Kluyveromyces lactis: one gene and its partner. The protein of the gene in region 1 purifies or fractionates together with the protein of each later gene. This does not show direct contact. Links are inferred from orthologs where the notes say so. Each region holds a gene or a part of one and is shown in the gene's direction. Other genes may lie near its edges.

Region 1 (4,291 bases):
TTGGGTTTTTTTAGCAAAACAACTCAATTCTTCTCTAAAGTTTAAATTGGTTCAAATCAAATCAAATCAGCTCTCAATATTTAAAAATGCCTTCTTTATATTTCAATATAGTATGACAATGATGAAATATTAACAAAGTTAGAAAAAACACTAGAACAAATATACTACCATAGCCAGGTAGAATAAAAGGAAGATGAATGAAAAGGGGATCGGATTTTGAAATTTTCTCGATTATTGGAAAACGCCGAACAGAATAAAATAAAGGAAATAGAAGAACGCCGAATGACAGCAAGGCAGTAAGCTAGAAAATCCTGTCAGTTAGGATATTGCTAATGTACTGGCCACAGTACACTGTTTTTTTTATATATAGTACATATGTTTGAAAACCCAGGAACTTTTCAGTATTAACGACGCAGCACAAATTTAGCGCGCATTATGCCCCTATTATGGTGATCTTCAGCTCTTCTCGTATATAGAGAAAAAATGATGATTTACCAGGACAATAAATGATCCAATTCGAATCACACTCTGAGTATTTAGAATTAGAGCCAGTGAAAATAATACGCAAGTATGCCTCTGCGAAGAAGCTTGGTGATTGAAGCTCAAGGTTTATATTTCCTTGGTACTTGTCTTTGCACGCCCTTTCTTTGATTATCTCTGCCAGCGAATGGAAAAGTAATTAATTGTCAGGAACTATGATTATCCGGGTAAGAGCTCGGCACGTGAGTTTCCTCGGATATGAGGCGGAGGTCGGTGGCTGGAGAAAAGAATAAAATATTAATAGAATGAATTTACTTACCCGGAATTACTGCTAGTTGAAAATTTGAAATCACGTGAATACTTATGTAATTATGATCTCGTTTTCCTTTGCCAATTCTGTGTTTTTTTTGGTTTTTCCTCTAATTTGATGTTTACGTATTTCCTAATTCAGATATTGTCAACAAACACTAGGTGATTGACAGGGAAATTTAACATACCCCATCAACAATGGTTTCCATTGTTTACTTGTTTGCCCATTGAATATGTTCATCAACTATAATATATTGTTGTATTTTGTAGGGTTTACATCTTTCATTTCTTTGTTTATACTAGATCTCATTTTTTTTTTGAAGGGAATTGTTTTAACGATTAAATCAGTGATCTTAACTCTCATCACATCTTTGAAGTGGTAATATTCCATTTTATTCGTCGTCAATTTAAGTCCCTTAGTCGAATATACCTGAGCATCTTGGGCAATGCAAATGGAAGACAAAGGCGAGGCACTTAATCCTGATGCAATGTATTCTCTTTTGAAGGAGATTGACCAAGAGATTTCTCACACCGACAATATCAGCATTGATCAACTCCCAGAAGAGGATACCTTGGACAATGAAAAGAAAATTGACGCCAGTGAGAATGTCATTGAAAATACAGAGGAGGAGGCTCTCCAGTTGGGTGACGAGAGTGCAAATACAACTACCGAAATTAAAGAAACATCTTGCACAGAGGACCACGATACTGTCGAAAACACAGAAGATGTCATAAGTATGGCAGAAGGACTCGATAAAGCACCTCTAGAGACTGCTTGGATCAAACACAACTATCAGCAGACTAAACCTGTGGTTTCAAAAAGATTAATCTCAAATGATGGATCAGACACTTCTGTTGAAGATATTAATGCAAGTACCAGAATTCCTTCTTATACTTCCGAAGAAATAACTGGCCTAGAGTTGAAGGATAAGATGGTCACCGATGTAGGTGAAAGATTATCTCATTTCCTAGATCAGAAATATGCTGAGAATCCAAATTTGCCTGCATTGAAAGGAATGCTCTCAATGGCCGATGAAAAAGCCATGGAAGATGACCCAAAAAAGGATAAACCATTGGTGTTCACAATTGAGCCAACTAAACCACTTTTTCCTTCGAAGGAAGTATCTTCAACCATGATTCAAGTCGAAATTCACACTCCTGATGAAGATGATGTTGATGGTGCGGCAGCAGACACCAAAGAAGCAACCAATCTCCTGCTTGATTCTAAGATCCCAGTCACTCCTAACGTCTGCATCAACAGATTCGTAAATAATAACGGGGAAACAAGGGTTTCATCTGGCTCATCGACAGAAGATGCACAAGAACTTAATACGCACAGATTTCAGGACCGGTATCATCTTCTCAGCGGTGCCCAAGCAGTTCCACAACTCCCTCAGTTGCCTGCTTTAACATTGCAGGATTATAAGTCATCAAGTGTTCAAAGCGTTAACGCTTCAAGAATATTTAGTGTTGCAACTACAAATGACAACTACCAGTCGGCAAAAGAATATGATTTGTCCTCAACTGTTGGATGTGAAGAACTCTCTGATGACGCATCAGTAAAGGACTTAGAGATCCCGGAACCGAATGAGTTGCCTTGCTTTCCGACTTTTCAACTGGACTCTACTTCCATGAAGACATCCAGTTCTATGGAAACGGTACAGCATGATAAAGCAAAGTTCAACTCAGACGTCAATATCGCGGATGATACTATGGAACAAATAGAACAAGAGGAGGCAGAATTGATTTCTAACCCGGAGAGAAGTGGAAGTCCTACAAATGATAATATGTCTCAACATAGCCAGAATAGACAGTTGCTGGGCGTATCAGAGGTGTCACAGGCACAACAGGCACCAGAGCACCATGTAGAAATGTCAGTTGAGTTTCAAGACGAAGGAAGAAGGGATATAACCAGTAGCTTCTCGAGAGAAAGTGATCGAATCGAGCTACCACCTTTGCCTCCTATGAATGGACTTTCGACAATGTTTGACCAGGATTTATTCAATGACCATGAGACCTCGCACGAGTCAATTGATTTAACTTCGTCGTCCCACAAGGAGAATTATCTGTCAATTTGGCACTCACAGAAAACAGGGGGCAGTTTTATATCTCCAGCATTGAGCACCAATTCTCAATTTAGTACTCAATCACGTACATCATCAGTGCCGACAAATCATAGCGGAAGTTCATTTAAATTCAAATCGAGAATCATTTCGAATTCTCATGTATTCAAGCAAGAAGCATTTAGACAATTCAGTGATGAGTATGTCCTCAGCACACAAGATGATAGTAAGTTGGATCCGCTAAGAAGAAATACTATCATGTCCAAGCGTATCCAGCAAGAACTCAAGACACAAGCTAAAATGTATCCATTTGCTAATAAATTTGCTTTGGATGAAAGTTCGGAACCAAGTATACACAACGAATCAATTATTACTGGGGACATTTCGAGAACAAGTGACAAGGCGGTTGACACTACAAACATTTTATCCCATAAGAATTTGACACTTTTGCCGCCGCAATCAACTGAAACTGTATTTTCGTCCTTTTTAGACAATTTTGATAAAGACGACTTTGAAGAGAAGTTGGCAGAAGAATCTCGATTGAACTCAAAGAAGAATCTTCAAACTACTTGGGGTCATTTCCGAGACGTCAGTTCTGGTAATGTAGATATTAAGGCAACTCAGCAACAGATTGCTGAAGTTCTTCACAATCAAAACGAAGATGTCGTTCAAGTGGGGTCGCATATTCAAGATGTTAAGGTGTTACTCGGGAATGAAATTGAGGGATACGATGTTCAAAAATCAGTATCGGATCTGTCAGTAGAGACCACAAAAAAATCGCCAATTAAGCACGTAGGATCACCCTTCAAAGTGAAAGCTCGATCTGAAACACCACCTCAATCGCCCGTAGTCTACGAAAGGGATACTACAGAAGTAAATGAAGGACTGCAGCGAGCTCCGACGACATCATTAGCTTCTGTTTATCTAGAAAACTCCCTTCAAGAATTTGAATCCTCGGAGCTTCAAGATCATGGCAAACTATACTTGAAACTAAAGAGTATCAATTCGCTTCGTTTACAACAAATTAAACGCCATAATGCAAAGTATTGCATAGAGTTTGATAATGGAAAAGAGGTTATTGAAACACCGTGGGAATCCATTCCGGAAGATGGTCCTATTAAAATGAGTCAGGAATTTGAAGTAAACATGGAATCAAATAACGTCACTTTATTCATGACTATGAAAATTCGATACACAAGCCCTCAAAATCAACTAACTGAGGTTGTAGAGAAGATTCCTATCAAGAAACGATTTGCGTTCGGCAAAACAAAGTATAGGCTTGAGAAAAGGTTTGTTACTAAGAAATTGAAATATGACGATTGGGACTTCAAATTCGCAAAGGATGGTTCATTTGCACGCTGCCAGGTAAATGTCAATAAAAATATGCTGAAACAAATCAAATACAAAACAAATGAGCTACACTTTGAATTCCTCAATGA
Region 2 (4,351 bases), on another chromosome or scaffold:
TGACCAAAGTATTCCGGACAAAATGGAAACTGTCAATTTATTTTCACGTGATTTAGACGGGAAAAAAGTCCCGTTTTCTATTTCTGATGAGAGAGAGAGAGAGACTCATTAGTATGCGACATACAGCGATTATCGCTGACTCCTCTTCCTTCGAGCGATTTGCCTGGCATATATCGTACCGGCTTACAAAGTCAGCCCAGTACAGCCAAGGAAAAAAGGCAGACGTTCGCCGAGTTCTATCAGTCTTTCGCTACTATTCCTCTATCTTATCGGTCGGTCTTTCTTAGAACGAACAGATAATGAAAATCTGATATCGCCATACGGCTCCATTGAGATTTATCAGATTAAAGGGCTCGAAGAGACAAAAGGTACACCGTTCCATAGTTAGATTATATAGTACGAGAAACCTACCGTAGGTATATAAGTAAGGTTACAACCGATTTTTGGGGGGTTTTGTCCAAGATATAACATCATTTTCTTTTGTATTCATCTGATTATTAGGAAGAACACTATCTATTAACTAGATAAAAAGCAGCGCAAGGAATATGGAAGGGTTCAAGTCTAAGTGGGAAAAATTTAAGAGATACGTTTCTGGGAGTCCAGTTGAAGGTGAGAAATACGATGAGGCTCCTAAGGTCGAGGATTTGCCTCATATGGTCGATGCAGACGGTGCTCTTGTTGCAGTTTCTTCCGGGAAACACGATTTGTCCCCGGTGATGTCTGCCAAGTACAATATTCAACCTGGGAAATCCAATAATGGTTTGGCTGAAAACAAGGCCATTGACGATACTATTAATTAGAGAGGATGTAAAGACTTCAAATATTTTGTATACACTACCAATATTTTACCGTATAATCGATATTCAAATTACTTACTGCATCGAGAATTAGCTTTGGGATTGATGCTGTATGGGGTAAACTGTCCAGAAGAACATAATGGGTGAAGTTACGAGGTCACTCAAGTAACTCCTCTCGGTAGCCAAGTTGGTTTAAGGCGCCAGACTGTAATTTGAAAACACAAAGCAATTTGTAATCTGGAGATCGGGCGTTCGACTCGCCCCCGGGAGACTTTTTTTTTCCTTATTGTTTGTCTTAATTCCTTGTTTCTGACATCTAAATACTTACTTATTCTGGTATTGACAGTGAGATTCAACTCTATACTGAAGAAAAAGACTATCATAACAAGCATTGCCCAGAGTAGTTGCCTCAAGATTACTACTAACCGATGCTTTGCCTTGTATAAATATGAGTAACATAATTATAACACTCCTGAACCATTTGTTACTTCGGAAAAATGTGTCACTGATCAGTTATACGGCAAGTAATCAAATCAAAGTCACAACATGACAGCCGCTACTGTACAAACAATCGATGTTCCCATTTATACTCCGATTTCCAACTCGAATAGAGCTCACCAGTTTGTTCAATTAAGTAACGGAATCACGGCATTATTGATTTCGGATCCCGGTGAATCGTTTGCATCGCTATGCGCTTCAGTTGCAACCGGTTCCCATAACGATCCTGATGAGGTACCAGGTTTAGCTCATCTTTGCGAACACATGATTATAAGTTCTGAGTCTAAAAAATTCCCCAAAAGGAGTCATTATCATGATTTATTGATTGAATACAATGGTAATCAGAACGCTTTCACTACAGGTGAACAAACGAGTTTTTATTTCGAGATTCCAAATTCAAATAATAAAACCGGTAAACCTATATTTGATGAATTGGTTGGTGTCATTGCTGACAAGCTGGGTTCACCAATTTTTCAAAGTGCAGATATTAACAAAGAGATCCAAGCCATAGATAATGAACATGAGAACAATAAGAATTTGGTTTCGAAAGCTCTGTATCATGGTACCAAAAAATTGGCAACGCAAAGATCCAAGTTCAGTCGGTTTTCCACTGGAAACATCTACACTCTGACTCAGTTTCCTATTGTTGCTGGTAAGATAATAAATCTAAAGAATGTTCTGCAGAAACACTATGCGGATAATTTTGTTGCAGAAAACATCAGTATAGTCATTAGAGGATCACAGTCCTTGCATTATTTGAAGAAGCTGGTTCAAACTACTTTTGGAGACTTTCGTACCAAGTCCACTATCAAATCACAGTCTTTCTCCATTGAGTCTTTCAAGAAATTGCAGAAAGTCTGGGCGGCCAGATATACAGAACCGTTGTTCAGTAAACAAGAACCAGAGACTCCGAATTCAATACTGATACAGTCCTCCAAAGCACCTATACTTCGCTTAGTGTTCCCAGTATCTCACCAAGAGGCCCTGTTTAGTAGATCTGAACTGAAAATATTCTCCAAGGTTTGGTCTGATTTGTTTGGTGACGAAAGTTCAGGGTCGATTCATAGTAAGTTTAGCGCTCGAAACATATTAACCAGACAGGTGACACAGTTATCTAAGTTTACAATTGACGATGAAGGATTGGTGCTACAATTTGAATTAACTAATAGTGGATGGAAGACAGGGGTAGAAAGTTTACTTACCGATTTATTCCAGGGTTTCTTGCCCTTTTTCCAATCAATAGATCCAGATGAGATAGCGCAATATTTGAACGAATGGAATACCATAAATTTGCTTCAATTTATGTACCAGGATCTGGATAATTCTACTATGGATAAATGTTCAGATTTGTGCTCTGAACTACTGCAGTGTGAAGACCCACAGTTTATTTTGAATAACAGTATTGCCTTCTCATGCAATCGAAAAGGTTCCGATATCGGTAGCTATTATGAGAGCCCAAAATCGAAAGAATGGTGGAACTCTCAAGCTAAGAAGTTCCTATCATTTGTAAAAACCTACATGAGTTGGAATAACTGTAAGCTTATCTTTTTAGGTGACTTACAATCAAATGATTTCCTTAAATCGAGGCAGGTTCCAACGAACGTTAAATTTGATGAGCATTACAGATTTCAGTATGAGTTAAGCCTGATAAAATTGAATCACGTCAAGATGTCGCCAAAGGACTTCCGGCTCCCTAGCTCTACTGCTTTTTTGTTTGGTCTAGAAAAGAATCTATCTGCATTGAAACAGTCTCTAACGGCTGTTCTTCGCAAATCTCAAGGCTCGGCACTCTCTATCATAACGCAATCTAAATTGTTACAAACGACACCTCGACTTATGAGCAAAAACGAAAATTACGAACTCTGGGTGAAGGAAGAAAACTCATTAGAATATAGCTCGAGATCAGTGATTACTATAGAACTCATCAATATGGGTATGGAACCCTCAGCCAAGAATACCATGAATCTTGAAATTCTGACGCAGCTACTATATTTCTATATCAACGAGTCTTTATACCCTTCTGAACGTGTCGGATATATGTATCAGATAGCTGCAAACAATAGGGGTGATGTTCGATTAGCTGTTACAATAAATGGGTTCCCACAAGGTGTGGCCATGATCTTGCAAATAATCATGGATAAAATGGTGGATATTGGCAAACCTGATTTTGACATTACAAACAGCATGTTTAGACACAGTAGAATCCTTGTGCGTACTAAATACGAGGAAGCAGCAAGAGCAAATTCATGTACGCTGGCATCATTAGGGGTGTTGATCCTTTTAGAGAAGGAGTTAACAACGTTGGAAGAACGATTGGATGCGTTAGAAGATATTGACATTGAGTCCTTCAAAATGTTCTGTAAGGACCTATGGATCCCCAAGTCTAATTACATGAACCTCGTCATCCAGGGGGATCTCTCGATTGCTGAAACGGTGAATCAGTATATGGATGGTATAATTCATCACTTGTCTGGCCCAAACGTGAATCAAACCTCGGTGTTCCGATTAAGAGAGCCCGAAACAATTAAACTGGCACAAGGCAGCAATTTTTTCATCGAGATGACCAGCTTCAAAGAGGATCCAACAAACAGTGTTGTATATTTCATTGAGACTGGTGATAGAACGAACCCAGTAGATTACACTATGAGTAGTCTTTTCGAATACTTCATGTCCATGACACTTGTGCCAGATTTACGAAACAAGAAACAGATCGGATACGTGGTACTTGGAGGACTGAGGCTTTTAACAGACACGTTAGGTATACATATCTCGGTAATGTCCAACCTACCGCCACATACCATCGAAGACAGAATTGAGGAATATCTATACTACCTTGAAACCAACGTACTAGGTGCGATGACAGAAGCTGAGTTTCAAGATAATATTCTGCAAAAATACATGCAGTTGATTAAATCCAATTCCTTGGAAAAATTAATCAAGAACGCCGGACCAGCAAACCTTATGGCGCAAATTGAGGCCAGTGTGCACAGTGGTAATTACCCCTCAAACCTGCAATCACAAGGGTATACCGTAGGTCAACACAAGAAATTGAAAGA

What was found.
Region 2: the proteins of BUD4 (region 1) and AXL1 purify together in Saccharomyces cerevisiae (affinity purification with western blotting; 3 studies listed by BioGRID). This does not show direct contact. The link is inferred for Kluyveromyces lactis from reciprocal best matches to the Saccharomyces cerevisiae genes BUD4 and AXL1.

What each region holds. Positions count from the first base shown.
Region 1 is NC_006041.1:537,454-541,744, reverse strand, and holds the start of BUD4 (Bud4p), read left to right. Parts: upstream 1-1,235; coding exon 1,236-4,291. UniProt on the Saccharomyces cerevisiae protein: Required for establishment of the axial budding pattern in haploid cells.
Region 2 is NC_006040.1:1,317,842-1,322,192, forward strand, and holds the start of AXL1 (Axl1p), read left to right. Parts: upstream 1-1,343; coding exon 1,344-4,351. Other genes in the region: KLLA0_D15576g (uncharacterized protein), read left to right, coding at 546-800. UniProt on the Saccharomyces cerevisiae protein: Probable protease. Involved in axial budding.